Lonchura striata: one gene and its partners. The protein of the gene in region 4 interacts with the protein of the main gene of each other region in a pairwise test. Links are inferred from orthologs where the notes say so. Each region holds a gene or a part of one and is shown on either strand. Other genes may lie near its edges. The genes, in order: PSMA1, SUMO1, TCEANC and RAD54B.

Region 1 (8,103 bases), on a different chromosome or scaffold from region 4:
CACCCCAACGGGGACACTCACAGCACAATAGGTTAAATCAGCACATGATTCAAAGACGGAACTTCCAGCTGAAGTTGGATACTTAACTTTTAATGCAAAGCAAAATTTCTGGTTTGCTGAAGAAATGAGTCTTACACAATTGTTGTGTCTCACCAGCCATTCCCCAATAACTTCTGAACAAGTTATTGGCCAACTGCAGTCAAGTCTGAAACAGGAGTAGAGGTCTCAAAGGAAATGAAGTCCCTACAAGTTCTGCAGAGGTGGTCAGGAGCTTTCGTGTGCATGTAACAGAACCACTGAGGGTTTTCCCCATTTTCAGCACTCCAGCCTATGTCAGCCAGCCAATACAGGCACTCCTATCCTGCAAGCATGACACCATGGAGCTGCATCCCATCAGCTGGCAAGGAGGGGAACACAGCAACTGTTATGGTGAATGTGCAAGGGATGATCTACAGGATACCACCTTCCCATAGGTTGTTGGGGATTTTTGGCATAAGGTTCTTTTTTTAGGTCTACTAGAAAGACCCTAATGTTGAATTTCATCCCCTGTTGTAACTGGAATTTCAGTAACATAAGATATTTCCTGCCCAAGAGCAGCACTGAATTGCTGTGACCTGTCCAACATGAATTTGTCAGCTGTCAGGAATGACATGCAAGACTGTAAAAATGAGAAACCACTTTGAGTTTTTAAATCTCCTATTTCCTTTTCTTTATTAACATATTCAAAAACATCTCCCAGTAAAGTATTATTTGCTCTTGCATTAACAGTGCCAAAAACTATTATGGCATCACATGACTGCCTCACCTGCAAGAATGGATAGAGTAGCAGTTGCATCACAGCAGCAATTTAAAATGTCTTTTTTTCAGAACAAACCCAACACTATTAATATTTTCAAGGCAACTTAAAAAAACAGAGAAATTTGTGTTGCTGATATTTTGCAGTATCTGCTAAAAATCTCAAGTGAATGTTATCATTTTAAAAGTAACTTTTAAAGTAACAGATAAAACAAAAAAAGTTTGTGATACAGAACCTGCCAGAGAAACACAACCATTAAGAAGACTGAAAACAGCTCAAAGGCATCAACACCTTCAAAGGCACCTACACCTATCATGGCATTGAGTGAAAAAAAGGGAAATATTCAAGGCTGTCTTCACGGAGAATGGAAAGGAGAGAACACTCTCTGTTGCACTGTACAGAAAATGAATCTCACATGCAATAGTGCTACATGATGAATAATTTCAGTAGCAATACAAACCCACAAACTAATGATACATTAGCTTTATATTAATACAATTTGCTACTTGCATTTTAAATAAACCTCCAGTTTTCCTGAATACATAAACGAGTCTTTTTCCAAGGCTCTGGTTTTCTGTAAGTATCCTGTCTTAAAATATCCATAGTGAGAGAAGAGGCAATATTAAACACCTCAGCTGACAGTGCCTTTTAAAATTCCAAAATATTTACTTTCAACACAGCCTGTGTAAGTTTAAGAACACACAATGTATATTTTCAGTAACAAAAAACAGTGTGAAACTGATTCATAAGTAGTAAAATTTCAAACTCAAATGTAAATCTCACTTGAACATCCCAATTATCTAGCGGACAAAATAGAGAAAGACCCAGTAATGGCCTAACTTTGGGGAGATTGCAACTGTTCCATGCTTTGTGTACCTTACCTACCAACTTATTATAGCTCTGTGAATGGATCACAGAGTCATGGAATGGTTTGGGTTGGAAGGGATCTTTACAAGATCATCTTGTCCAACCACCCGAAGATGACACCATCTCTTTTGCACCTCACAGGTACATTTAGAAAGCAACTGCCTTAAGCACCTGGAGGGGACAAGGCCCAGGTAAGCAGCACTTAGGTTCATACATCAGCAGACAGGGGTGTGCTGAGGGCTTTCTTGGTCACCTACAGCCTACAAAGGGAGAGGGGAGCAGCCTGTAGGAAGCTTCAGGTACCTGAGCACAACCTTTGTGACTGTAATACCACTGCTGTGAGGTGGAGAAAACCCAAAAAGCAAGTTAAAACCCCAGTGAGCAAGTGTATAAAGGTTTTACCTGCGGGCTCCAAACCGTGACATCATTGTCATACTGGTTGCGAAACTGGAATGAACAAAATAAAACTCATTAGTATCCCTAATAAGCTAAGAGAGTGCTCCTGGAGGAAACCCTGGTTGTTTTCACAGAATCCCAGCACTACACAATCAATAACATTGGAAACATCTCTGATACATCGAGTCCAATCTGTGACTGAACACGACCCAGTTGTTAACTAGGCTATGGCCCTGAGTGCCACATCCAGCTTCCCTAAACCTTCAGGGATGGTGCCTCCACCACCTTCCTTGGGCAGCCCATTCCAACAACAGCCCTTTCTGTAAACAAATTCTTACTTTGTTAAATTCCTTTTGTCGAACTGTGAGGTGGAAGGGACTCTAGAAATCATCCAGGCCAACCCTACCAAGGCAGGGTCACAGGAGCAGTGACACAGGAGCTCATCCAGGTGGGTTTGAATGTCTCCAGAGATGGAGACTCCATGGCCCCCCTGGGCAGCACTCCCAGTGCTCTGTATCAGCGTAAAGAAGCTTTTCCTTATGTTGAGGTGAAACTTCTTTTGTTTCAGTTTATGGCCACTGCTCCTTATCCTGTCACTGGGCCCCACTGAAAAAGGTCTGGCACAGTCCTCTTCGCCCGCCTATGAAATATTTGTAGGCATTAATGAATCCCCTCTCCCAGACTGAACAGGCCCAGCTCCCGCAGCCTCCTCACAACAGAGGTGCTCCAGACCCCTGGGGAGATATCCGCACGCATCCTCACGGGGCTCGGAGGTCTGTGCCCCGGGGCCCAAGCAGGGCCCGCTCCCGCCGGCAGCGAGGCCCAGTCCCGCCCGCGGCGCCGCGCGGCCCGGGAACTGCTTACTCACGGGCCCGCTCCCCGCCGCCCGCTCTGCCGGCTGCCCCGCGCGGGCCGGGCAGGCCGGGCAGCGGCGGGGCTCCCTGTGCCGGGCTGTGTGCCCGGCCCGGCCCGCGGCCCTCACCATGGTGCGGCTCCCGGCGGCTCCCGGCGGCTCCCGGCGGCGGGCGGCGAGCGGAGCGCTGCGGGCGGGCGGCGGGCAGGCAGCGCCAGCCGCGCCCCGACTCAGCGATGGGCCGCGCCCCGACTCATCGATGGGCCGCGCCCCGACTCATCGATGGGCCGCGCCTGCGCGCCGCCCTGAGCGAGGCGGTTCCTTGGGGGCCGGTTTTAATTGCCGAAATTGTTTTGTTATTTTTAAGCTTTCTGATTAATAATAATAATAATAATAAATAAAAAAGTTTGTTTGGTTCGGAAACTACTTCCTTTCCTCACCGTTTTTGTGTGGGAACAGGATGTGTAAGCATTTTATGAAGCAAGCTGATGAGCTTCAGGAGGTTGCAGTAAAATATTCCCGAAGCCTCTCCCTGGTGCCGCTGCCCAAAAACTTCCTACGGCAACAGGGGACTCATATTATTATACTATGCTATGCTATGCTATGCTATGCTATGCTTTGCTATGCTATGCTATGCTATACTATACTATACTATACTATACTATACTATACTATACTATACTATACTATACTATACTCCGGACTCCCCAGTAACTTCCTACGGCAACAGGGGACTCCTATTCTATTCTATTCTATTCTATTCTATTCTATTCTATTCTATTCTATTCTATTCTATTCTATTCTAATGTTTGTTATGTTATGTATTATATTATATTATATTATTATATTATATTATATTATATTATATTATATTATATTATATTATATTATATTATATTATATTATATTATATTATTTTATTTTATTTTATTTTATTTTATTTTATTTTATATTATATTATTATATTGGAACTCCGGACTCCCCAGAGCTCCATCCACCCCGGCCACGGGAGCAGAGCGACACGCAGACGTTTCCCCTCGTTTTGGCAAAACCGCATTAATTTGGATAGAAGGCTGAACCACGCCAAGACTCCCCATTGTTCAGTGTTTGTACGGCCAGGAATGTCAGCAGCCGCGGTTTTAGCGATCAAAAGGCAGGATTGTAAAACTTAACTTCGTGGAGAATTTTGGTAATAGCTGCAGAAATGAAGAACTTTTGGGAGCTGTATGAGCTGTCGCAGGTTTATTAAATAACAACCGAAGTATTTTCCGGAGTAATCCTTCCCCCTTTATTAGATGGATAGAACAAGATAAAGCCAAACCCGGAGCCACCAGATGTCCAGCTATTAACAATTTATTCTGAAGCGGCGGGGCTGGGGTCCCGTGGCAGCAGGAAGGGGGCAGGGGACGGGGATCCTGCAGGCGGCACAACGGCTCCGCGTTCCCAGGGCAGCAGCGCAAGGGGATGCCGGAGACAGGAATAATCTCTGGAACGGGAAACGCTTACCGTGGGAGGAAGTCATTCACTTCCTTCTGGATGCTCCTTCTTGTCCCTTAGGCTCAGGACGAGAGCTCTACAGGCAGGGTTAAAGCCAGAGGGTTGGAGGTGATTTCACCTCAATGATTTCACCTCAATGTGCTGGCATTAAAGAGGGCCCAGCCTATTCCTCGTTGAAGTATTTGAACTGAGGGTGTAAGGTGTCGATTCAGAAGGCGAGAAAGGCAAAATCAACAAGGCAAAAATCAAATGGCTGTTGCTCAGATAACAAAGGCATCACACCAGAAAGGAAGTGTTTTGCATATATTAGAAATCTAATTGCAGAGTGAAAAAGCAATCAGTATATTACATTGAGACATCACAATATAAAAGAGTACAGGACTGAAAAGTAAAGCTAAAACTATCCTCACATTTAAATGAACTACTTATTAAAAAATCTAAGGAGAAAATAATATTTTCTCCTTTTTAGTTTCACATTTGGTAACCTGATAACCAGGATGACTTCAGAGCAATGAATACACAATTGATAGCTGTATGAAAACAAGTTCAGTGCCCAGTAGTGTCCAAATTAAATGTAAGGAATGATTAGGACGGAGAACAAAACATAAAGCATTGCTGTGCCACTGTGTAAATCCATACTGCATCTGACACCGTTGAACATTGGCCATGACTCTTGTTTCCTACCTTGAAATGATGTGGCACTGGGAAAAGTAAAAAGAAGGATTCAAATTATGGAATAGCTTCATGTAAAGGATGCCAGTAAGGAGTAGAAGTCCTCAGTGTAAATAGCAGATAAAGAAGGAAAGGCTTTGAACTCTTTCCAAATCACAGCTGGCACAGAGATGCTGAATAGATTCAACACTTCTCTCCGTCCTGCAGTTCTGGTGCGGGGTGTCTTTAAAAGCAGCAGGCTCAAGCCAAGCCCAGGGGGCACTTCTGGGTCTTGTCATACCTATACTGTGGAAACCTCTGCACCTGAACACATCATGGTCTTTTGGTCACATACTGAGAGAGCAACTGGACAAATTCACAGACTAAACAACTGTCTGAGCCACCGATGCTGCTGCTGCAATGTTTGAGCTAAGAGCAGCAGTGAAAGCATAGCTATCCTAAACCATGCATATACAGTCTCAAGAGAAACTAATGAGCCTGTTTTATTCTATGCTGTGTTTCCAGCAGAGTTATAAACAGCATCTGACATCTGAGCGATGACAGGCATTGCTCTGCAGAGATTAATGTACAGCAACTGAAAGGCAAGGCCATTATGCCTCTGCTTCTGCTGATTCACGAGAGGAAACAACATTCCTGCAAGTCCCTTTTTGGGATACCACTCACCATCAGCCCACATTAACCCCTGTGTGCTATGCTCCTGTATTTAGGTGGAGTATTTTGGCAAAAGATTGGCTCCTCTGAGGTCAGTGGTGACACTCTGGGAGCACTCCCAGGGGCTGCACGTTGTGCTGCTTGGGCACAGCACTGCCAAAGGAGGAGAAGAAAACTGCTGTGCCAGAGTAAGAGGCAGACTGAATGAAGGCAGTGCCTCCATCCCCTTGGAGAAGGGGAAGAATAGATCCCAGAGAGATCACAGAGCCACTCCTGTCAGATGGACAAGTGGTTGCCCACAAATAGCAGTGCTGTCATAATGCGCTCAGGACTGAGCATTTTGACTAAGTTATTTTGAGAACTGTCTTACAGCCTTGACAATGTGAACAATCCATATTTGGATTTAATACAGGTAAGAGATTTGCTTCATTAATAGATATATGGTGACAAGACTACTCAATTAATTAATTAGAAGCCTTGGTGTATGACATATGTAGTATTTGATGACATTTTCATCAAGTAGGTTAAGACTAAAAATAAAAATTTGACAGCAAATATAAGTGTACATATTTGTCTTTAGAATCATTTAAAGATGATCTTGGAAGTTCTTACAAAGAAAAAAATATATTGCTTTGTATTAATACTGTAAATAGGAAAAAATAACCTCTCTATGTAAATTATACCAAATTTCTTTCCTATTCTTTTGCTGCCACATTAGTAGAGGTGCAGACATTTCAGTCTCTAAGACAAACTTGCATTCATGTTGCCAAAGGCATTTTTTCCATTTTTAAACTACTGACCAATTGAGGTATCAACTACAGGCATTTTAAAGCCCACTCCTTACTTTTTTTAATCCATAGCTTTTGTAGACTGACATCAGTTGACCTTTTCAGGACAGGCCTGCAGGGCAACCAGCCTTGCTTGATCATCAAAGCTGGCTAGGAAAGAGCAGGCAATGCTGAAAGCAGGTTTAAATAATCCCTGTGAAAGAGAGCTGCAGGGAAGAGTCTGGCTCATTCTGTCCAGTTCTGGAATAAACAAGGGCACAAGGTTCAACACAGCAGAGCTGTTGTAGCATATCCTGGTCATGGAAATAGCTTTTATTTGTAGGTTCTTGTTTGACTGGACCAACAATATATTTACATTTAGATGGATATTATTGCTATTTCTTGGACCTGAATTTTATTTCTTCACTCTGAGTGAGGAAGAGTTTCTGTATAATATGCTTTTATTGTACAAGAAAAATGTACTTTGAGCTATAAATTGCTTGCTAGCCTAGAAGTTATGCTTTAAACAGCATATGTAGAATTGTTTGAGTCATCAAAATACAACTGAAGAATTATTATCATAATTTATGGATAATTATGAAAGATATTGTTGCAGTTACCAGAAAATCTGCTCAGCTTTTCATTTAAATGAAAAAGAATGGCAGTTACAAATTTTCTGTGGATAAAAGATCCATTTCAGTGGGCATATAGCTGCATAAGCTCTTTCAAATACATGAACTGCTCTGTTGATTCATATTGTTGGAACTATTTTTGAGCATTCCTGAATCAAAACCAAAATATCATCAAACCTTCAGCAGTGGATATATAAGATTTTGAGGGAGAATGGTGAACAGATTCACAAATAAATACTATCTTAGGTTCAAAATTTCTCCCTATGAAAGAATCATCACAGATAGGAAATAACAGCGTGGCACAGAAATGAAGCCATGAGACCACTAATGGATCCCATTTCCTTGCCACTAACGTTGTCATATTAAATTAATGACTAGACAAAGTATTACCTGCTTACTTATGCATTTATATGCCATAAATATTTTACAGTGAGTCCTTATATGTAGATCACACAATAAAATGTTCACAATATTTTTGCCGCATCTGCTGGTGCCAAAAATTTCTGCTTGAGAAATGGAAAACCACTTGCATACAGAAACAAATTTTCTGGAGGATATTAAAAAAAAAAAAAAAAAAAAAAGAAAAAAAAAAAAAAGAAAAAAAGAGAGAGAGAGGAAAGGCCCTAGGAATGACGTACTGTCCATGGCAAAGCATTAAGGATTTATGTGACACTTCTCTTTACAGGCATTTTCAAGTTCTGTGAGAGAGATAAACATTGTAATATTTACTGTTTAGGCAATGGTCCTGGTATTTCTAGACCACATCTTTTAAAAAGTGACTCAGCCTATTCTTACTGTGGATTCAATTTTTTGATTAGGAAAGACATCAATAGAGAATTAATATGCAGGAAAAATAGATGTTTGAGTATGCTTTAGTCTTAAAAATCGAGCTGTCATCAGCCAGGTTTACTTTACTTTTTGCCAAGCTCCTAATTTTGCTACATGGATTTTAACAGCTTTGCTGTCATGCAT
Region 2 (7,242 bases), on a different chromosome or scaffold from region 4:
TGCTCTAGTATTAAAAACAAATAGGGAAAGTGCCCAAGAGTAGAATAAGCAGAGGGAATTGGAGTCTTCAAATCATAAAGATGCTTGTTTAAAGCCCCACAACCTCTCATTCACAAAATAAAGAGGAAAAAAAGCTGTAGTTTCAGGAGAAGAAAAATAATATAAAATCAAATAATAGAAGTGCCAATAATCAAAGCTTAATTTAGGAGCAAAATACTTTACACCAGGATACAAGACCCAGCAAGTCTGAAAATGCTCTCTGCATTTTGTCAGTGAACTATACTGCCATTCAACGCCAGATGGTTAAGGCAACACAAAATTACTTAGAAATAAAGAAACTAAGGAGATTCCAAAGTTGTTACAACTACTAGCATCCATTAACAAAATCCTGGATCAGCAACTAGCAAGGAAGCCTCCAGACTTCTTGCCCTGTGAAAAGAATGGTGCTTTAAAGTACCTCATGAAACAGGACATAAAAAACACCACCATACAAAAGAACAGAAATACCACAGCACTCCAATTTCTAACTTTTCATTAGATGCCTAAGGTTTTAAAGGCTTCATTGCAGTTTTCCTAAAGAGCACAATGTAAGACTCTGTGCACTGTCTCACACTTATATACGGACCCTAAAAAGCACACGAAGTTTCTTGGATGAAACACACTGGTACTGCTATTGCAACTAACAAAAACTAAACATACACAAAACAAACTTGCAATATATTGCAAGTTTCCTCCTCCAATTTTCAGAAGGGATAAAACTTCAATGTCTAACCTTAAAAAAACAAACTATACTCAGCATTTTAAAGGAAAATTGTCAAAACCAAAAGAGGAATAGATGTAGAACACGCTTCATAACAAAGCAAATAAATGCTTACATTTTTTAAGGGAGTGAAAAACATACACACAAACTACAGCATTCTTTATTAACAGATTACATTAATAGATAACATTTAGATTAAAATAATGCAAAAACAGCCTAACACACTTGAAGGGAGGGGGAAACAATTTGTGTTTTGTTTCATTTTTGCTTAGATCCCACCAAGCAACCATGAGGTTTTTTTTAAGTCTGCCCTTCTTTCAAGTATTTTTATTTACCATAAAAGTCAATTTCCCACTGAAAATAAAGTAACCCTTCTTTTATGGGTGATAAATGACACCCCTCTTAACTTAATTCCAGGGCCAAAAAGAACAATACTCTAAGCAATTCACAATTTTAGGTAATCAAGTTATTCTTGTAAGATTGATAAACAGAGGAATGAGATTTACAGTGCTGCATAACCTTACATTATTCTTCTACTTAAGCATCTGTTTAGCTCTTGTTGCACAGTGCTCCAGAAATGAATGACACAACGTCTAACAGTGTTTTGCTTATCTATTAAAAATAAACAGCAGGCTCCTTATTCACAGACCTTTAAGATACATAGCCACAACAGGTTATCACATACATGGAATTTTACATACTTCAAGCAATCTCAAAGACAAAATACGCATGTATTTTAGCAGAACTTGCCTGGGGAAGGATTTGCCTAAGTAATGAAAGCTGCTATTTGCTAAAACATACCTTGGTTCCGATATGCAGACAACTAGAGAGCAGGTCACGTGAACATCTGTCTATAAAATCTAGTTCAGAAATTGTTGGTGAGTTTGTTTGTTTTTTTTTTTAAATGCAGTCACTTTCACGTATTTTGCTACAGGGGCGATGTGTCCTAGGAGGCAGCAATCGCTGTGCTCCCAGCTGCCCCTCTCCCAGGCACAGGCACAGAGAGGCAGCAGCACCATTGTCAGCCGCATTGTGCTGGGAAGTCGGGGGCGGGGAGGAAGACCACCAGCGCACACAGCGCTGGCTTCTTTTCACGGCTCCTACTGCACCAAGGCTACTCCCCAAAGCAGACACGGTATGCACTAAGCTGAGCCTTGTCTCTGGGGACTTTTAATTTCCTGGCTGGCACCAGTACTATTCTTGACTTCACAGCACTACAAGAAACACATGTAGGTACTGACATTATCACGATAGCTACACTTTGGGAAAAATCAAAGATAGAAAACAGTGCCCTATGACGACAATATAAAAAAAATAAAGCAAAACGGAACACAAATTGAAACCGGAACGCCGTTTTAACTTTCCACTAGCAGGACATATAGCCTAAAGCAATAGTTGTAGGCAAAGCACTGTATACATGCCAGGCCGAGCAACCCAGGAACTTGCGGTACAAGCAACTATTCAACTCCCCGGCTCAGAAAACAGAAATGATGTGGGCATAACGAGAATATTATTTGGAGCGAAGGCAGGACAGAGCCTTCATAAAGGACGGGGTGTTTAATACAAGCAAGCAACGCTCAGCTGAGAAACGAGGGGGAGAAAAACAGGCTTTCACATTCCTCGGGCGAACGGAGTACCTGGCAAGCCTAGCCTAACCCTCACAAAGCCCGCTCCGGGGGAAAACCATCCTACCACACACCCGGGAAACGAAAAACGAAAGGAAACAACAGTTGTGCAACACAGCTTATCCCTCGCCGCATTCCCGGGTTTCCAGGGCCGGGGCTGTCCCGGCGGCGATTCGCTTCGTCCGGACACCGCCCCGGCCCCCGTGTATCCCTGCCTGGAGCCCGACCGCGCTCCTCGCGAAACACCCCGAGGAAAGAAGAGAAAAGGATTAAAATGCACGCGGAGAGGGGCCCGAATCGGCCGAGGTCGGAGATCGGCATCCATCCATACACACACACACACTCCTCTCGGAGAACGTTCCCCCCGGCGCCCTCCGGGCGACCGCGACTCTGCCCGCCCCGGGCAGGGCTGCCCCGCGGCGGCGGAGAGTGCGGGCGGGGGGCGGCAGCTCCTCCCGAGCCCCCGGGGCCGCCGCGCCGTTCCCCCGCGGCCGGGACAGCTGCCCGTACCTGGTCAGACATGATTCGGCCCCGTGTCGTGCGGCAGGCTCGGCTGGGCCGCTGCAAGCGCTCCGCTCCTTTCTCTGCCCGCAGCGCAAACACAGGGCCGCGGCACGGGCGGGATTTCCGGTGCGCCTGAGCTCATTTCCCTCCCGGGCCCCGCCTGCGGCCCCGCCCGGCCCTCGCGCGGCACCGGCTCCCGCCGAGGCCGCGGGGGAGGCGAGAGTCGCCGTCGAAAGAAGCGACCAACGTTAAGGGCAGCCCTGGCGACCGGAGCCAGGGTTGCCACAGCTACGGTGACGGGCCTGGAGCATCTCTCTTCATGAGGAGAGACTGCGGAAGCTGGGCCTGTTCAGTCTGGAGGAGATTGTGAGGGGATCTCACGAATGCACAGAAATACCTCCAAGGCGGGTGCCAAGGGGATGGTCCCAGACGCTTCTCAGTGGTGCTCAATGACAGAACGAACAGTAATGGCCATAAACTAAAAGATAATGAGTTCCACCTCACCTTGAGAAAGCGCTTTCTCAGGTTGAGGGTGGCAGAGCACTGGAACAGGCTGCCCAGGGAAGTCATGGAGTCTGCCTCTCTGGAGATATTCAAACCCCTCCTGGTCATGTTCCCGTGTCACCTGCTGCAGGTGACCCTGCGTGGCAGGGCTTGGACTCGATGCTCTCCAGAGATCCCTTCCAATCCTGACAATTATGTGAAGTCACATAACCCTTCCCACAATAGTAGATCTTGGAGCAAAAATCACTTTCATACTGCCTACCTCTAATATCTTGCTGAGGTTGTTATTAAGACAATATGCCATAGCAAAACTCACTTTTGTTTAGAGACAGTGTTTTTTTTGCAACCATGCAAGCAATGGGATCTGCATGTATTAAGCAAATCTGCAGCCAGGCTTGCATTTGAATAAATTTGCAAAGATGTATCATTAGAACAGGTGCCCTGCTTTACATTGGCACAGCATCGCTATTCAGAAGTCTGCACAAGAAATAACATCTACCTAAAAGATTACATTTAGGCTGCAAGCTGTTTGGACTATAGCATGGAGTCCTAACATCCCCTCTACAACTGCTCAGGCAACTCCTGCATGGCATCACTACTGGCATATGCTTAGATCTAAGTGACCACCAGCAAGTAGAAAAAAAACTCCACACATGAGAACCATGAAATAGCATGAATGTAAAATTAATGAATCAACAGAAACTAGCTCAATTGAAAAAATGAGATTATTACCCTTATGCTACTAAACAGAGTTTCAACTTTACCATCTACCTTTGGGAAAGTGCAGAGTACATTCATTAGCTCTGAGCAAGAGGCATTCATTAACATAAACAGGCCAATGCTCTGTGTGCCATATTCCCTTGTAATAACACCAAACACCAAAGCAGCTGATCTCTGTGCCTGCATTTCTGCTTATCAGTGAATGCCAAGCTACAAACAGAGCTACACCAAGAGGTGCACTTTTGCCAGCCAGCAGAACAATCAGTATCTAGACTCATGGGAATTAGTTCTAATCACAACTGTTAAAACAAGTCAGAATTAACAAGGGAGGGAAAAATAAATAAAGAGAACCAAAACAAATGCTATACAGAGCTAGAGAATGAAGATGATCTTTCTTAGACAAGGCCAAGCAGAAAAGCCAAATATGTTCATGCTATGCCAAGCTCACAGTAAGAGCTCATTATGAGCTTAATAATACACACAAAGCACCAAAATAAGCCATGCAAGGGCTCCACAACAACGCACAATACTAGCAAAATGGAAAATGACAAATATTCTATCCTGAACATTACTGCTTTTTATAAATTTTAAATGGGTTTTTAAAAACAGAGCCTTACTGTGCTAAGGCCAAAGTCTCAGACTCTGGCACAAACCCAATTTTTTCAAGTAATCCCATAATAAAAGCTAACACTCATATGAGTTAGAGTGCAGTTATCTATCCACATGCATAGCCATAAAGATACAGGGTTAGAATGTGCTTATCAGCACACACACTAACAGTAGCACCACCTTTCACCACCCTTCTTATTCCATCAATTGTGGATGCACCAGCTCTCCAAGACACAAGCTAGTTTTATACAGGATCTTCAAAGTTAATCTCCACTAAGACTGTGAAAACTGTGGATGCACAGCAGTAAAGCTCTCACTTTTCTTTTTCAATGGCTCAAATTCAACATAGAATTCACTTAAAGAGAAAGTAACAAAAGCTGTTTAAAAAATACCAAATATACTTACACAAGCTTCTTCCCACAAAACCCAAAGCCAGCCTTGCATTTGCACGCACTGCCCATAGTACTTGCCCTAACAACCTCACTGAATTCTCAGGTGTTTTATAATGTCTCTTATTTTCCTACCTGCACTTAACCTCAGTCACCTGATGCCAATAAAGTTCACCTCTGTTGACTGATTTCTCCAAAGCTACTGTATAGGAGCCAATAGCTGCAAGAGGTTTTCTCAAAGCTATTGGCCCACACATACATAGAGTCTGTGCAAAGCTTCAGTCCATCAGAAACAGATTTCTTTAAAAAGGAGACTTTAACCTATAAACAATTTGTAATCTCATAATACCAATTTGCTTGCCTGATAGCAGTTAGTGCTAGCCAACAGGATGAATGTAGTATTCTAGGGCAACCAGCTAAGTTAACAGTAGCTCTTACATAATAAGAGTACTCTGCCAGCAGGGCCAGAAATAGTACTTTAAAACTAGGTAGAACCTGGAAATTCTCTACCTCCTTGAACCTAATTTCTTTGGCAATATTACTGGTTGTGGGATTTTAAGAAAATTGGTTATGTGATGTAAAGTACCAAAGTCTTTCCTTTGAATAAAAAAATCTTCAGAAATATTAAAGTCCACAGATTTCTCTCACTGTGGACTTTCCAGCGTACTCCTGGAAACAAAGGCATGCTGACTCATACAGATGGTTGCATAAAACGCAGCAATGACTGTCTGATATAAATCAAAAGCGTTTCTTGGAGCCTCTCTACCTGCGGGCAGGAAAATCTCTGCCTGTTTTCAGTACAGCTAACCCTGCGTATGAAATAAGCGGGGATTTCTAAGGGCAAGGAGCGGCGCTTTCCGCCCGCCTCCCACCGGCACGCAGCTGCTCGGCTCCCCAGCAGGGCCGCGGCACAGAAGGTCAGCCAGGCGCCGCGCTGTGCACGCCCGGGCTGTGCCAAGGACAAAGCACGAGGTGGCACCAGAGTAGGAGGAGGCTCAAGTGGCCGCCCCAGCGCCCCGGGCCGTGCCTTCCCGCAGACGGAGCTGCCCGTGCCCCGGGGAGAGCCGAGCAGCGCGGGGAAACACGCAGCGTTCGAAACGCGTTTTATACGAGCAATTTGGTGCTTGTCTGTTGGCGAAGCCAAGCTTTTAAATACTCGCAATCGCACTGTGTCAACAATTCTTTACGCAAAGGAAATGCTTTCGGTGCGATGAGCTGCAGGTCAGGCCACGGGAGCGAGAGCGGAGTGGGCAGAGAACGCAACCCGCCACGTGCAGAGGGCCGGGAGCGCCGCTGAACCCCGACACCGCGGCCGGTGCGGCTCGGGGTCGCCGAGAGGACCACCCGCTGACCCCTGCTTCGGGGTCCGTTCGGGAAACAAAGTCTCTAGCACGGCCCCTCGCGTCCCGGGGAACACACCCGCTTCCTATCAACGGTGGCCGACCCTGCCGCCAACTGCGGCACCCGGGGAAGCGAGGACAGCTCGGGTGAGGTGCCAGAAGGGCACACCGGCGGCGCCCCAGCTCCCGCGTGTTTGTGCGTCAGGAGACTCGAACCCGCGGCGGGGGCGGCCCCGCCACGTGGCTGGCGGGCGGAAGGCGACCCGCCGCTTCCGCTCCCCGCGCGCTCTCGCTTCCGCTGCCGCCGCCGCTTCCCGTTCCGGTTCCGCCGCGCGGCGCGCGCGTGCTTGAGCGCGGTCGGTGGCGGCGGCGCACGCGGCGCCCGCCGCAGCCATGCTGGTGCTGTTCGAGACCGCCGCCGGCTACGCCATCTTCAAGGTGAGCCGCGGGGCCGCGCTGCCGCTCGCACGGAGGGTCGCGGCCGCCGACCTGCGGCGGAGCAGAAGGGAGGGCGAAGGGGAGCGCGTCGGGCCTGCGGAGGGAATAACGGGGAAACACGGTGGGGGGTGAGGGTGAGGGAGAGGGAGGGAGTGGGGGTGAGGGAGGGAGTGAGGGAGGGAGTGAGGGCTCCCGCATCCCGTGCGGCCCCTCGCGGGGCGAGCAGGGCCGAGGGTGGGAGCAGAGGCCCCGGGGCAGGGGCAAGCTGCTCGGCGGGCAGAAGGGGAGTTACTCGGTGCCTGCCAAGAGGCATCTCTGGCGCTCCCTTCCTCCCCTGTGCCGGGCGGGATTTG
Region 3 (8,080 bases), on a different chromosome or scaffold from region 4:
TCCCACAGCAAGAGGATATTGTAAACATTCTCCCTCACTCAAGAAACATTCCTGGCAATAGAAACATGTTCTAAGTGGGTTTGTGTAATCATTTATTAAATAACTACTTTTATGCAATATAGTTCAGTCTCCTAACTGTTCATCTGGATGGATGCAAATGTTCATATTCATATTTCCAATCACTTCAGACAGCAAACCAGTCAAAATAATTCAAGAAGGCTGTGATATCTCCAAGTAGAAACCATTTTTTTCAACATCCTTTAACTGTATTGCCTTATACAGGTAACAGTTTCAGTTAATTTTATGTCTTATTGGTGTTTCAACACCACTGGGATTGCATCCCTCTGCTCCCTCTACTCAATCTCTGTGCACAAGAAGCATTCATAACATTGTCCCCCAAAGACTGGGAAATTGTAATTCAAAATTCCTGGTACATTGAGATTGGTTTATACACTATGATGCTCTTAGAAGTAAAAAAATGGGAACTGTCTTCCCATCTTTCCACCTCAGACAGAATGATAGGGAATTTGCACCTTTTTTAAAAAGGAAAGGTTACAGTATTATGCAAAACATGTCTCCAGCAGCCAGTACTTGAAAAAAAACCAGACTTTTACATGTTCTATTATAACTACAAAATTATGTATAAAACAATTGTCTACTACAAAACGACAAAAGACTGAAAATTCTTTCCCTGTTTACCTACAAAGATGTTACCATCCATGCTCATTCTTGGTTTTACAGCTTTCCTCCACTATTTTGTAATTTTATCTTAATTTTTTTTTCATTTATCCAAGAAGAATTAGAACTTTTTAAACCTACAGAAAAGAAGAACATGTTGTGAGCTGCAGGTATAACACTGGCTTTTAAGTGAAAGATCTCATCAAATTTTCTTACGTCTCCATCTGTTTTTCAGTCTGCACAAATATTGTTTATATCCTCTTGCAGATGTACCTATTTGAAACCTGGACAACCTCAATCTAAACAAAGCTTTCCTGGAGTGGATCACATTTCCTGCTTTCACTGAGCTCTGCATTGGCATAGAAGTCCAACAAAACAGACTGTCTTGAAAACAGAAGCCTAAATCAGTAAGTAAAAATGTACTTAAGACATATCCATCTAAAGTACATTTGTTAACTTAATACTTCAGAATGAAAATATGAATCATTTTGGAGAGAAATAAGCAATGCTTTCTTTTGAACACATTTCCTTGACAAAATAGCTTTAAAGATTATTCTTAATCATACACAGCTACCAAGGAATTAAATTCTAGCCCACTACAAGTAAAGGTAAATGCTAAGTTTCCGATGTCTTTTTATGAAAAACTGTACTGACAAATTAATATAAAAATGGAACACGTAAGTAATAAAGACATGCTTTATGAACTTCTGCAAGCTTGTCATCATTTGTCAGATAAACACTGTATTTTCATTGCTTTAACATTCTTTTTTTTAGTTAAGTCTTGGCTCTACACAATTTCTATTTGTCATTCCATTGCCAGGGCCATATTTAGATTAAGTATCACTGTTGTTGTTTTACAGGTTTTCCACTGAAAAATTATAAAACTTTTTTCCTTTAAAAATAAATCCTTTGTGTGCAGGAGAGTGCATATGCTCCTGAAAAGGCCATCCATTCTGAATGGATAAAGAGTATGATTTAAACAAATGGTACTTGTAAAATATTATTAGTGTCTGCTGACATTTCTTATGCTAAAATATGAACACTTAAAAGTGAAAGTACAAAATTTCTTAATACTTTAGAGCCTTGATCAAAGACCCATGATGCACTGGTTTAAGCAAAGGTTGAAATACACTTTAAATGAAATGGATTTTTATCTATTTAACTATTAAAACAATACTACATTTAAAAGCATGGACTCTAGCTCCTTTCTATATTTATACCAACATATATCTTATTTCAAGACATCAATGCTGCATGGAGACCAATATAAAAAATACATAAAGAATTCCCATAATAGCACCATTACAGATATCCATCCTGTAGCTTCCGAGGTCAGCCTCTTCTGTGAGTGGAATTACAGAAGTTACGGCAGCTGGGAGCAGCAGCCCAGTCGTGTGCATTTGGAAGCAGCTCACATTCGCTTGGCGTCGAAGCCAGCCACAGGTGACAGCTTGTCTGGCTGAGATCTGGGGTCAGGCTCATGCCACCAGCGGCTGAGAATCGCTACTGGAGTGTTCATCTCGGTCACCAGGCCATGAAGCTTGGGGGAGATCAGCCTGCAAATCTGCCTGTGCTCGATTCCCACGACACCGGCGTGCCCACACACTCTGTGACCCAGAATGCCAGGGACATGCTAACTCTGTGGGGTTTTCTCCAGATTCTTAATTAAAATTTCACAAGATCGTAGAATTAATTAGGCTGGAAAAGATCTGAGATCATGGAGTCCAACCTGTGATTGAACATCACCTGTCAACCAGACCATGACACTGAGTGCCACGTCCTCAAACGCCTGCAGGAGCGGTGACTCCACCACCTCCCTGGGCAGCCCATTCCAGCACCTAATCGCCGTGGTGAACAAATTCTTTCTAATTATTTCCAACTTAAACCTCCTCTGGCTCCTCATATCCGTTCCTACTACACATCCCCGGACCCGTCTAGCTTAATTCTGACCCACTGCTGTCCTGCTCAGGGGCGAAATACTGTCCCGCACAGCCGGGCCAGGAGGAAAAGCAAGCTCAGCCCTACCTACCAAAGCCCCGCTTCTCTGGGCGCTGCTCCCCGTTCCCCTCGGTCCCCAGGGCCAGCCGGGGCTGGCACGGCGCTGAAGGGCAAACCAGGGCTGCGGAGCAGCCGGCGGCTTGTGCCTCTGAGACTTTCCCCCGACCTCACCGCCAGCGCCAAGGCAAGGGCGGCGGCTCCCCGGACGCTAGTGAGGCGGAGAAGCCGCACTCCCGCTGCCCCCGGCGAAGCACGCCGCGCCGCTCCCGCACGCCGCGCCCCGGCGCCCTCACCTCCGCCGCGCGGCCCGCCATGGCGCCGCCCGCCCGCTCCCCGCTCCGCCGCCATCTCCCCGCGGCTGCGCGCCGCTCCCGCCGCCGCCGGGGCGCGGGCGGACACCGGGCGTGGGGCGGCTCCGCGTGTCTCAGGAAACAGAAACCACGTCTCGTTGTACCAGGAATGGCGTGGCCAGCAGGATTAGGGAAGCGATTCTTTCCCTGTGCTCGGCACCGCTAAGGCCGCCTCGAGTACTGTGCCCACTTGTGGGCGCCTCTCTGCAGGGAGGACACTGAGGTGCTGGAGCGTGTCCAGAGAAGGGCTGGGAGCAGATGTCCTAGGAGAAGCGGCCGAGGGAGCGGAGGTTGTTTAGCCGAGAGAAAAGGAGGCTTAGGGGTGACCTTATCACTGCCTACAACCACCTGACATAAGGCTGTAGCCAGCTGTGGGTCGGCCTCTTCTCCCACGCAGCTAGTGGCAGGATGAGAGGACATAGCGTCAGGCTGTGCCAGGAGAGGTTTAGATTGGACATTAGGAAGAATTCCTTCACAGAAGGAATGATTAGATGCTGTAATGGACTGCCCAAGCAGGTGGCAGAGTCACTGTCCCTGGAGGTGTTTAAGGACGTCTGGACGTGGTGCTCAGTGCCGTGGTCTGGCTGACAGGGCGGTGTTGTGTCAGGGGCTGGACTCGCTGATCTCGGAGCAAGCTGATCAGCACTGATCTCTTTTCCAAGCTAACTGATCCCGTGAATCTGCCGTGGGATGACCGTGGCAGGTGTATTCCCTGTGGGCTCCTGTGCTGTGCCCGTGGCTGCCGCAGGGTGAGAACGCTCCCGAGCGGGCGGCAGCCCTGGAAATAACTCGCTGTCCCAAGCAGCCTCAGGTGTGCGGGCACAGTTTCTTTCCACTGAGGCTGCCGGCTGTTTTGGGCTTGGATCTGGTACTTGGATCTGGCTGTGGGGCGAAAGGGACACCATGATGCTGCCCTGTGGCAGGGCATGACCTTCTTGTGGTATTGGTCTGCGAGCCCCACCATGCTTCTCTCAGCCCTAAAATGAATGAAAAATAAATGACATTCATGTGATTTGAAACTTTCAGTCATTATATGGTCCTTCTCCGGCAAACATGGCTAGGGAAGGCAGTGTGACACACAAGATAAAGGCTAACGGAGAACAACAACAAAAAAGTTGTAAAACTTCCTGTTTTCAATATAGTACTGTGTTGCTTTTGGTATAATCAGCTAAATGGAGCTATTGGTATACACAGAGTTAAAAAAAAATATAAAGTCTCGTAAGGTTACAGCTTTTTGATATGATGAAGTCTGCTGGACATGTCTGATTATGCAGTAAACGTCTAAAAGTAAATGCAGTTTAGTCAAAGGTATTTGTCATTGCCTTTGTTATAATGCTTTCCTCTTTCCCATGTACTTCCTATTTCATGTATTTCACATAGGTGTTCAAAATTATTTTTTAAGAGATTGCTACTTCCAGAATTTTGGCTCTACAGTAAATCTATAAATGATGCTGGGGTTTATACTCCAATACAGTAAAATGTTTGTATGATTTTTTAATACATGTTTTTGGTTTTATTCACTAATGAGGTCTGTGTTGCCCTCTGCTGTCAGTAATCTGATTTTACCTACCTGAAGGCACCAAATATGTTTTGGCAAGAATATCATGTAATGCAGACCTCTTTTTCCTTATTTTGACATAATGAACATCACCATTACTAACCACACAGAGAAAAAAAGCCTTGCATTGTTGTAGAGGATGTAAAAAAAAATAGATAAATTATTGTAGTGAACCAGTTTATCAGTGCTCATCACTGAGTGATCTCAAACCTTCCCTTGAAAGAGCTGAAATGGTTGCATTATACACTGATTGCTAATGCTGTTCAATTCGTCACTCACAGTGTGTTTGTGCCAGACTCATGAATTCACCAGCGATTGAATATGTGATGCAATGAGTAGCTGAATGCCACAGTTGAAATCAGGCTTCCTTTTTGCCTCGTCTTTGTGTCTCACACGGGAAAAAAAAAAAAAAAAAAAAAAAAAAAGAGTGGAACAAAACCTATGCCAAAGAGTTTTATGAAACCAGTGATCAAGAGTTTGAAGTATGACTGTCCAGAAATGACACAGTAACATACTAGCAGAACAGGATCAGAACCTTCCAGGTTCAAATGTGGCATGTCATGCAGGGGCCTGTGTTACATATTTTGAATTATTTCTGTAGCCTACATATGTCAGGAATTCAGCAGCAGCTCTCTTTGCAACATCCAGGAGTTTGCAGTTTCATTTCAGTTTGGGGCTCCAAGGCTTTAAATGCCAGTTTTCTTTAGTCTTTCTGTACCTGTGTGATTATGAGAACAGTACATACCGAATTCCTTATGTCCTCAGCTGAAAGTGCCTACCACAAAGTCACAGAGCTCCCTTGGCAGGAAAGCAAAAAGAGAACATGGCTTTTTCCTTGTGATTAGCCCTCCTTTGAGATGGGATCAAAATTGAGGGTGCCTCTCCTGGAGACTGGTTCCTCACTCAGAGGACAGTTTGGGCATCTCCATTAAATTGTCTTTGATCCAATGAATAAAATTATTCATCATTATTCCAGTTTCCCATTTATAGAACAGATACAATAATACCTTTGAAGTAAAGCAAATTAAAAAAATATTAAAATTATACACTCAGTAAATTCATACATATATGTATACATGTGTAATGATATATGTGTATGTCTTTGTCTCTGTATGGTTTTCCAGGATAATATCAGTGTACCAGTGATAACTTCCTTGAAACTTCAGTATTGGCTGTGATAAGCATCTGCATTTCTAGAAACATAGGCTTCTATTCAAAAGATGGAGATATTCTGGCAGCTGGTAAAATATTGAGTATCCAGAGAACTATTTGGAAAAATATTGGTCCATCATAAGGTTTCTGTAGAGAATAGTATATGCTTCAAATACGCCTCTGTAATTTGTTTGATTTTTTTAAAATTGTTACTTTTAAAGAAAAACCAACAAAACCAAGTACATGGATATAATTTATTCATAATTTTTAATATATTTTTACTTTATTTTTAAAATTGTGTCCTATCTTAATGGCATAATAGGATTTATGACATTAATTTTGTACTCCACCACTGTAATTCTTCCTGAAAAGCTTTCTTCAGTTTAATTTTTTTTTTGTTTAAAGGTTATCTTGTCCATAAGTCTGGATTTGTATTGATTTTAGAGTTCCCAGGAAAAAGACAAAATGTGGAAATGTGATTCTCTTTTTAAAAAGGCTCCCTGCCTTCTACTAGCAAGAGAGGAAAAAAAAACCCAAAAAACATAATATGAACCATGAAGCAAAGCATTATAATTAAATGAAATTAAATCGAGGCCAAAGTTGCCGTGCTCCCGCCCCACAAAGGAATAAACCAATACATAATACAGGGATAATAAAACATACAAATAACGCAACTCCACACAAAGTGTTTTGAACAGTCATCTCCCTCTATCCTTAATGATATGCAGAAGGGAATCCTATATAAATGTCATATTCCTAGACTCTGAAAATCCACGAATTGGGCCGTATTTTATGACAGATTTCATTTTGTGAGAACACTTTCAATCGCAGCATTTGAAATTTGTTGATACATGCAAAGAGTGACTTCTTGGGTGGCTGTTCTTTTCAAGAGTCACTTTCACATTTTCAGGCTCTGATCCAGTTCTGAGAAGGAGGTGGATGAGGCCCTGGATTTCCTTAGGCTGGTGTTGAACTGATGCTGCTTCTGTGTGACAAGATAAAGCCTCCAGCACTGAGCAGTGGATGAGCTTGGCAGTAATGCTGCTCAGCTCTCCTGATATGGCAGCCCATGCTATTTATTTCCACGTCTTGAGATTCCTGTGCATTTTCTGTAACACTGGAGTGTGCTGAATTTAGGATTATGAGGATGATGCACATAAAGTTAACCAGGTAGTGTTGATGAGAGATATATCCCATGTGTTTCCTGTCTCTTCCTCCTGGCATGAGTTCCAGTACATGGGAGGGAATATACCACCTGGAAGACCTGAAATTGAATTGCCAGGAAGATTATGAAGAAATTCTGCCAGAGTCAGCGGAGTGTTATGAAGCCATCTGAGTAATTTGCTTAGTTAAGCACTGAAGAACACTTCATTTGAGGGAAATTGAGATAAGCAGCTCTCTCTGTGTCCCCTTTTCTGCTATGCACAGGCAGTGAACCAGTCTGGTGTTAATGAGTCAAATATGAATTTGTTGTGGCAGGCCTGGGGTTGTTTATATACACACAGTGCTCTTGAAATAGTTACTTCTGAAGGAACCAGCAAGTAGATCAACTACAAAGTGATCCTGTGTTCCACCACTACACATCTTGGTGGACTGCAATGCCAGTACAGGAAATATGAGAAAAATATATTGGATCTTTTTCAGTGCAAGTGAGTTTCCAAAAGAAAATGCAGCCATTCTCAGATCATTTTTTCTTAGAGGTATTAGCTAATTTAGAGCCACTGACTATATCCATGTAAAGAGAATTGATTATTTTTTCTTATTCCATTACTTGTGGTGACCTGCAGTTAATTTTCATATTCCTTTTGCTTGCACAGTCACTCAGTATCACAAGATTCTTTGCAGCCACCTTTCAATTTAACTCTCTTGAACCATAAAGGCAAACATTATTATCTTGCTATTTACACCTTCACATGCATTTTCAATAGTGCATATACTTAAGCCAGCCTACAAAGGGTACTATTTTAAAATCCTGGAAATTTCAAAGAAGACAAAGAAATTTAGGACTCCCATATATTTACATCCTGGGCAGGAAGATGATGCTAATGATTAACTCACTGTAAGTGAACATGTGGCTTTCTTGAGTATAGTATCTGTTCTAGCACTTTTAAAATTGGCAGTTAACATTACTTTATTTAGAATAAAATTAATGCTTGTGGAGATGATAGTTTTTTTGCGGGTGATTTTTAAACATTTTTTCTGACTACCTTGTGGCATGTATTTCTAAAAGTTTTTCTCATTATTTTGTACCATTTTATCATGTTTGTGACTTCTGTTTTTTATGGTATTGTATAATTGTAAATTGAGTCATTTTTCAAGTGAGAAGACAAATCCTTGTGCACTA
Region 4 (8,009 bases):
TGGTATAAACCTTGGCTTTTTGCCAGCATTTCCTAGGACTTGACTGGGAGCTGCAGATCGCCTCATATTCAGCTGTACTGCTCTGCAGAGTGGACAAGAAGGAAGCAGATAAAGACAATTGTAGTCAGAATAGGCTTTAAATATAAAAATATATCCATAGGTGACAACAAAAGCACTATTTCAAAATATAAAAGAGCATACAAGATCTTAAAATAACAATATTAATTCACAAGCATAGTAACATTTAAGAAAAGGTAGTATTGTTGCAATGCTGTGTTTAAGTACTAAGAAAGATCAACTACAGCAAATTCTGCAGCTGAACACCTCGATTTTAATTTAAAAAGACAATAATGGAGTTCCCAACAGCAATAAATGCTCTGGAGATACACAGTATAGGGCTACTTAGCAAACTTACAGCAGTTTTATTAAAAGAAAGACAATTTTAAGCAAAACTTACTATTCTATACACTCTTCTATAATTTTGAAAAGCCCATTATTAGTGCACAATGAACAATGAATCTTGAAGGTATGTCTCATATCTGGGACCAGCATTTTGCATTAAACAGTCAATTACATTGGTCATTCAGGTTCACCATAATAAGATTAATATTCAGCAGAAAATTATCACTGAATTACAGTGAATATTATTGCTTCATGTTATGTCCACTTGAACAGTGGAAGGAATGTATTATAGGTTTTCCCTCAAAATATAAGACCATTATTCCCCAGAAAAATCTTAGGGCAAAACCAGACATATACCAATGTTAATATGACAAAGTTTACTTTTGCAACCAATAGAAAAACAAGTTATAATCTTAATGCTTCAAAGAAGTAGACAGAAATCAAACAAAAGAAGAAAATGCCAATAGAATGACACAGCAGCCAAAATGAAGAAGGCAAGCACAACTTGCACTGCAGTTACAGGTTTAATTCTCTGTTTACACGTTTATTTTAAATGATTGCACCAACAACTGGATTAAAAATAAACTGCAATACAGATTGCAGAATCAAACTTCTGTAACATCTCAAAAGCATGTTTGCATTCTGCTGCAAGTGTGTTTCTGCACCTTTTTTGGCGCTACTCTGCACTCCAGTGGCTTCCTGGGGCACAACCACCATTATTTCCAAGGTTTGCACTGAAGTAGTGACAGAGCACTGCCAAAACACTTTTCAAACATGCAGAGACTGGTAGCAGGAGTACTACTCTCTCCCCATATCTGCACAACTAGCATATATATGATGCTGTTACTAGACATAAATCGCAGGGGCAAAATGGCCTCAACTGTTGTCACTTCCACTGTGGCTGTTATTAAAAATACAAGGAAAGAAGCCTCTGTGTATGCAGCAGTTCACTTAAGTTAGGCTTACCTGACAACAGTGACAGCAAATGAGTTTTAGTTAACCCTATGCAATAAGGGAGTAGCATGGTTATTATAACAGGAAGATCTGTAGCATGAAAAGCCACTGTGAACACTGCAAAAGTGTCAAGAATATTCAGGGGGAGCAGACTGCAAGTACCAGTGCTCACCACAGCCAGCTTCAGGTGCCATGGGAATCTGAACAAGTTCTCTTCCCAACCCGACACTACACAGTGATGCTTGGGAAGACATTACAGGACACCCCAGGATTCTGCAGGAGGACTGTGCATAGCATGGCTGCAGTGCTACATTAACCCTGCCCACTGCACTTGAGGTTCTGTGGGACAGAGAAGCTGTATAATTCATAAATTGCACATATCCATGACTAAAGTGCTTTGTTTCCCAAATCTATTTGGCCATTGCACTATCACTTAGTCTAAAACCATAAAAACAAACTCATTAGGAGATCTGAAAATTACTAAGACATTTGAAGACACTATCTTTGATAACTCAGTAACTTCACTGTTACCGTATTACCTACGTGTAAGTAAAAAGACTGTTACAGGTTTGTGGGTTTTAAAATTAAATATGGCAGCCAGAATTACATCTTTGTTTTTTAAAATACAAGTTTTCATAAAATATAATGAATTTTTAATATGTTAAAAAAATAACCAAAACGCTTACAATTTACTTTACACTACTAACTTTACAGTACTACCTAATAGGAATAGAACATCAGGGACATACAACAAACCACTGATGCCAGGTCCTTCAGATAAGATCAGAGTGAGTGAAGCATGGCAAGGAACAGCTCCGGACTACAACTAAATGAAAGAATATGCAAATATGCCCTTTCCTGAGAGACAGCACCGGTACACCGGGAACCATGCCCTTGCCTTACTGCTAGGTCTGGCTGCAGGGAAACAGCTGCGAGCAATGCAAAAAGCACTGCTCCGGCTTTTATTAGCAACCGTGCCTGACCAAACCCAGCGCACCACGAAACCACAGCCCAAACCGTCTCACAGTTTGTCAGGCATTGAATTCGGTTGTACTTTCTCCCTTAAGGGTACATTAGTAGCTGCATTGAAAATTAAATATGCATACAAAGAACGTTTCGAGATTTTACACATGCAGCTCAACACGGTGCGCACGGAGCTCTGCTAAAGGCAGCCACAATGCCCACCCCGGCCCAAACTCGAGCAGCTGCTCCCGGAGTGTTTGAACAGGCACTGCCGGCACAGATGCAGAGGCAGAACAGGGGCTGTGGGCAACTGCGGAGACGTGACACAGCATCACCTTAAACTGCAGGCAGCAAGCGCATCGCCTAGAACATCAGCATTACTGAAAAATCGCTTCAAACCAGAAATAGCTGTAAGGAATTTTTACAAGAGCCATGTAGCAGTAGGACAAGGGTGGGTGGCTTCAATCTGAGGTAGCGGGGATAGATTATATGTAAGGCAGAAATTCCTCACTCTGACGACGGTGAGGCACTGGAACAGGCTGCCCAGAGAACTTGTGAATGCCCCCTCGCTCAAGACCAGGATGAACGAAGCTCTGAGCAACCTGATCTAGTGAGAGATGTCCCTGCCCACGGCAGGGGGGTGAAGCGATGCCATTGGTAGGGTCTGTCCCGGGGTCGCTTCCAGCAGGGCCCGCGGCTGCCGTACCTGCGCTCCCGCCTCCGCGCTCAATTGTCCCGCCGCGCGCTCCCGGCAGCCCTGCGGCCGCACCGCGCCTGCGCCCCGCCAGCCTTCCCTTCCCGCCCCCGGGAGGCGCTGCCCGCGCATGCGGAGTGCCGGTCCGCGGCCTCTGCCGCGCACAGCATGGCGGAGCGGCTGCGTCGCGCCGCCGTCAAGCGAGAGCGGCCGTAAAGGGAAGCTCGGCTGTGCGACAGCGAGCGGCGGCGGGCGGGTGAGCGAGCGGGGCCGGGGCCGGGCGGAGGCGGCGGGGGCACCGGGGAGGGGGCAGCGGGGCCCGAGCAGGGGGCAGCGGGGCCCGGGCGGGGGCAGCGGGGCTGGGGCCGGGAGGGACGGGGCGAGACGGGGCCGGGGCGAGACGGGGCCCGGGCGGGACGGGTGGGGGCAGCGGGGCTGGGCCCGGGCCCGGGGCGGGCGGCTTTGTGCTCAGCGTTGTTGGGGCCCGGTGCCGGGCCGGCGGCAGCAGCGCCGCCGCGTGGGGAAGGCAGCTGTGAGGGTGCGTGCAGCTGTGAGGGTGCGTGCAGCTGTGAGGGTGCGTGCAGCTGTGAGGGTGCGTGCAGCTGTGAGGGTGTTTGTCGCTGCCTGAGCCAGCGCAGGTGCTGTTCCTTGGTGTCGGGTTGCTTCTCCAGATTTTTCTGGGCCAGCTCTGTGCCCTGGGATCAGGATCGTTGTCCGTCCCTGAAGCGCCTTCCCAGGCCGAATCCGGTGGCCTTTCCTCTGTTCCTTGTACACAATTCCCCCTCGCACAGCTCCGAGGTCTGACCCTGGGCTTGGCTCGGGGTGTCAGAGCCCAGCCCTGCACCTTGTGCTCGAAGGTGCTTGTAGGGAGGGCTGAGGTGCTCACAGAATTAATTAGGTTGGAAAAGACCTCTGAGATAATCAATCCCATTCCAGTGGCTGGCCACCCTTTCTGTGAAGAAATTCTTCTGCTGTCCAAGCTGAAACACAACCCCCAGCACAGCCTGTGTCAGTGGCCTCTCATCCTGTCACTTATTGCCCGGGAGTAGAGACCAGCCCTCACCTGGCTGCAGTCTCCTTTCAGGTGGACCGAAAGCTCTGAGCCTTTTTATGCAGGCTAAACAACCCCAGCTCCCTCAGCCCCTTCTCACAGGACTTGTGCTCCAGATCTTTCACCAACTCCATTGCCCTTCTCTGGACTCTGGTCTGTGCAAGGCAGGTCATGGATGGCTCTGTTCTGACTAGGTTTTGCAGGACAAGTGTTGTACAAAAATGTTCTTTGTCAAAATAGCTATAGTGGTTACGTGGTTCCTGGAAGAGGCCTTAAATTGCCTCGTATTTTTTATATTAAAAAAAAAAAATCAGGTTTTTGCATCAGTGTAAGGTGCTCTTGCTGTTCATTTATTCTTACCCTCCTCTCTTCCTTTTACATGAATGTTCATCCAGCTCCCCAATGTACCGCTCTAGAGAGCTGAGCTGAGGGAGTAGCATCTCTCAGCATCACTGACCACAGACTGCTGCTGTCTGCCTTGCTTCCCTTTCTGCCCTGGCTGCAGTTTCTTATCCCTGGTCATGCCCTGCTTATGCAGTCCCTAGAGCTTTTGCTGAGCCATCTACAAGAAATTAAATCAGGGTATGGTTGTCTATATGGTGAGTTGCATGAGCCAGTTCAGGAACAGAGCACATTGACTGTTCTCACTGATTCAGAGGAGGAGGTGGGGAGCATATTAATTTGTGGATACATAGGTTTGAGCTATCGTAATAAAACTGCCAAAGTTATTTTTTTTCCCCCAATTCAGTCTTAAAACAGGTCAGTTACTCAGAGTGATGCATCAAGTGCCTGAGAAACCACTTGTACAGTCACAGTTGAAGGGGTGAGTCTGCCCCTTTGGGCATTGATGCTGGCTTGAAGTGGCTTACAGTGTTAGAGTGGCAAAAAACACTAAAATATTGCTTCTGTATAGCAGGATTTCTGAAAATAAAAGCTGAAGGAATGTCATGTCTCAGTGCCACCTCATCCCTGGATCCTGCATAGACTGTTCCTCTAGCATTTCTGAAAATGCTTTCTTAGCCATGCACATTTGTAGTTCTGTTGTGGTTCACTCCAGCCTTTCAAACAGTTATGCTTTGTTTTGTCACATGAAAAAGAAGCATTTTTTAAAATGCAGAAGCTACTGCAGATGCAAAAGTGAAGGTCACTAATTTCATTTTGGTGTCCTGACTTTCACAGTGGAATAGCTTTGATTAGTGCCAGGCATTTGGCAAGCTATGTGATGATGTTGTTGGGAACTACATCCCATCTGTATTCTCCCTGTTACTATATCCTCACCAAATCTCTGTTAGAGGGCAGTGAAGTCCACAGCTCAGGGCTGGTTTTGGATGTGCATCTGCTGACAAACAATGTGGGATGACAACTGTTGAAAAATTGCTTGATACCTGTGAATTCTGGAGGGGATTTTTACTTGTCCAGAACTGCAGGGGAAAATAAAACTCATGAAACAATAAAGAGCAAATAGCATGTCACAGTTTGTGTGCTTTCTCTCACAAACAAAGAAATCCCTGCACAATGATACCCTTACAATTTATGTACCCTCCCCTACATGCTCTTCACACAGCCCTTTTAGTCCAGTGGTGATTTTTGGTCTGGGCTCTTCTAAACAGCTTATTGGATTCTCTCTCCATGTCCATGTTATTAACTGTTACTGAGTTGCAGTTTCTGCTGATGACCATCAGCTCCTTATCTTTTGGTTTGTGCTACTTGTGCACCTGCTCCCCGGTAGAGCATGGGAAACTAAATTAAAGTCCTAGACTTTAGGATAAACATTACTTAGCAACAACTAAAACATTGGTGTGTTGGCAGCATTCTTTTCATTCTAAAGGCAAAGCGAAGCACTGTAGCAGCTACTGGGAAAATTGCTAAGGAAATTAACTCAGTTCCAGCCAAAAGCATGTCTAGGTAAAATTCCTTAGCTTTCAGCCTAAGGCTTCCAGCAACCCAAGCTACACGTGCTAAGCAAGTAGATATAAGCAAACAGCATTCTACATCAACAGAGTATTGTAATTCTAAGTGACTTAATCTATTTAGAAGTTACTTGCTTAAGCAAGCAACTGACATCTCTCAACAAACTAATGTAATTTCTAGGTGCAATCAAAAAGAGTGTGACAATTGGTGAATTGTAGTAGAATCGGGAAAATAAGTTTTGAGGTCAAATGGAGAAGAGGGAAGTTTCTGGAGATAAGGAGAAGCTGAAAATTATCTCATTTTGTGGTAAAGATACTGGGTAAAGTGATTTGTACTGCTAAAGTGCATGACATTCATCAGATGCTCTCCCTCTGCTTATCTCTTGACTAAGGTGCATTTCTTGAAATTGATAAGAAAATATCTCTGGTTCATCAGGTCAGAAAACTTCTACTGGCAGAAGTCTGGGACTTCAGTACCAGCTGTTGTCATAGGTCCCAGATCCATTGCCAGAAAGGTTCCAGCACTGTGTTTTGCTGATCCAACATGAGTCTTCAAAATGTCCTGAAGAATCCCCCTTGATTGTATTTTTTGTCTCAAAGTTCCCATCCGCTCTTCATTTGAACTTCAGTTAGGCTAGGGCTGTATACATCTATATATATTTATATACAGAAACATATGTGTATAATATATATATTGCTGCTGTTGCACTTCATTTCTCTGTTAAGCACAAGTAAAATTTTTGTTCCCCATTTGATAAAAATACTCTTTCCTGCATTCCATTAGTCTTCAAACTTGCTAAAATGTGCTGAAGAGTGTCTTGAAGACTTAGTCCTCAGGGACTAAGCAGTGTTTGTGCAAAATGTAGCTCACAGCATCCACAATTCTAGAAGAACAGAAACTCTAGGACAGTAGAAGTACATAGTTTTGCTCTCTTATCTGTCCTTGAAAGTTTTCTAAAAGCAGAATCCTCTGGAATTCACCAAACCAAAGCAAAGTGTTAGACTTACAGTTCATATTATCTAATCTATATATGCTGTTTAAGTCCTCTGGCATAACTTAAGGGGTTTAATAATGGCATCTTTTATGATGTTTTAAGTGAGCAACCCTAGTTATTCTACACAGCAATTATATCTGCCAATACAACAAACTTGTAATGGTTTTGTTTTAAAAATGAACTGCCTGTCATGGCTGGATAAAAACAGGTAGATAAGGAACTTCCATCTTTTTAAGGAATATAATTTTACCAGATTTCAGTTGCTACTTTTCAGTAATACTGATTCTGTTGTCTTCAGTTTTAAGAAGATAACTGGCTTCAGAATTGATCATCAGCAGAGTGTTCAGTTTTGTGATAAATATCTGCATCAGTAGTAGTTGAAACAGAGACTGATGATTATTTTCACATTAATCTAGTCAATTTTCCTGTGTTGAATTGTAGGTTTTCAGTGGCTTGCTTTGGAAAACTTGGTTTTAATGGGCTGTTAGGATAGCATCTATTCAGTAGCTGGCTTGTTAGACATAGACTCAGTAACTTAGTAAACACTACTGAGCTTTACTCTTCCTAATTTTTCTCATAGGCATAATAAAGGAGTGAAGAGAAACTGAAGGAAGCATTACATGCCTTACTGATCAGAAAACTTTCTGAAGTATTTGGGCAAACTACATATCTAGGTAGTAAAATCTACAAAGGTAAGATCTCTTCCTCTTCTATTTTATTTAGAAAACCTCATAACTAATGAAAACCTCTTTCATGAGTCTCACTGGGTTTACAGAAGTTACTTTACATGTCAAGGAGCAATTTACAGCCTAAAACTGATTCTTTTAAGCTAGTTCTGTGGAGTTTTAGCAAATTCCAAAGGTTTTTCATTATAGGATTTAGATGAAGGCAGATTGTGCATTAGTTCTTCTTCACAAAGCTTTCAAATCCATTCAAAAATGCCTCAGTTTTATATAATAGATCATGTAGGAAAAGACAGTAGCTCTTTATGATTTCTGGGTTAGCTGAAGTTTTGGCTTCTTTTACTTCCTGAATATTAA

Evidence for each region.
Region 1: the proteins of RAD54B (region 4) and PSMA1 interact in a two-hybrid assay, tested with the Homo sapiens proteins (2 studies listed by BioGRID and IntAct). The two-hybrid records come from large-scale screens. The link is inferred for Lonchura striata from reciprocal best matches to the Homo sapiens genes RAD54B and PSMA1.
Region 2: the proteins of RAD54B (region 4) and SUMO1 interact in a two-hybrid assay, tested with the Homo sapiens proteins (2 studies listed by BioGRID and IntAct). The two-hybrid records come from large-scale screens. The link is inferred for Lonchura striata from reciprocal best matches to the Homo sapiens genes RAD54B and SUMO1.
Region 3: the proteins of RAD54B (region 4) and TCEANC interact in a two-hybrid assay, tested with the Homo sapiens proteins (2 studies listed by BioGRID). The two-hybrid records come from large-scale screens. The link is inferred for Lonchura striata from reciprocal best matches to the Homo sapiens genes RAD54B and TCEANC.

Annotation. Positions count from the first base shown.
Region 1 is NC_134608.1:50,395,868-50,403,970, reverse strand, and holds the start of PSMA1 (proteasome subunit alpha type-1), read right to left. Parts: upstream 3,127-8,103; 5' UTR 3,045-3,126; coding exon 3,042-3,044; intron 2,111-3,041; coding exon 2,066-2,110; intron 1-2,065. UniProt on the Homo sapiens protein: Component of the 20S core proteasome complex involved in the proteolytic degradation of most intracellular proteins. This complex plays numerous essential roles within the cell by associating with different regulatory particles.
Region 2 is NC_134610.1:26,736,620-26,743,861, reverse strand, and holds the start of SUMO1 (small ubiquitin-related modifier 1), read right to left. Parts: upstream 3,017-7,242; 5' UTR 2,908-3,016; coding exon 2,896-2,907; intron 1-2,895. Other genes in the region: NOP58 (nucleolar protein 58), read left to right, coding at 6,845-6,889. UniProt on the Homo sapiens protein: Ubiquitin-like protein that can be covalently attached to proteins as a monomer or a lysine-linked polymer.
Region 3 is NC_134604.1:99,181,518-99,189,597, reverse strand, and holds the start of TCEANC (transcription elongation factor A N-terminal and central domain-containing protein), read right to left. Parts: upstream 3,048-8,080; 5' UTR 3,025-3,047; coding exon 2,970-3,024; intron 2,940-2,969; exon of another isoform or gene 2,708-2,939; intron 1-2,707.
Region 4 is NC_134603.1:24,218,038-24,226,046, reverse strand, and holds the start of RAD54B (DNA repair and recombination protein RAD54B), read right to left. Parts: upstream 3,104-8,009; 5' UTR 3,026-3,103; intron 83-3,025; 5' UTR 67-82; coding exon 1-66. UniProt on the Homo sapiens protein: Involved in DNA repair and mitotic recombination. May play an active role in recombination processes in concert with other members of the RAD52 epistasis group.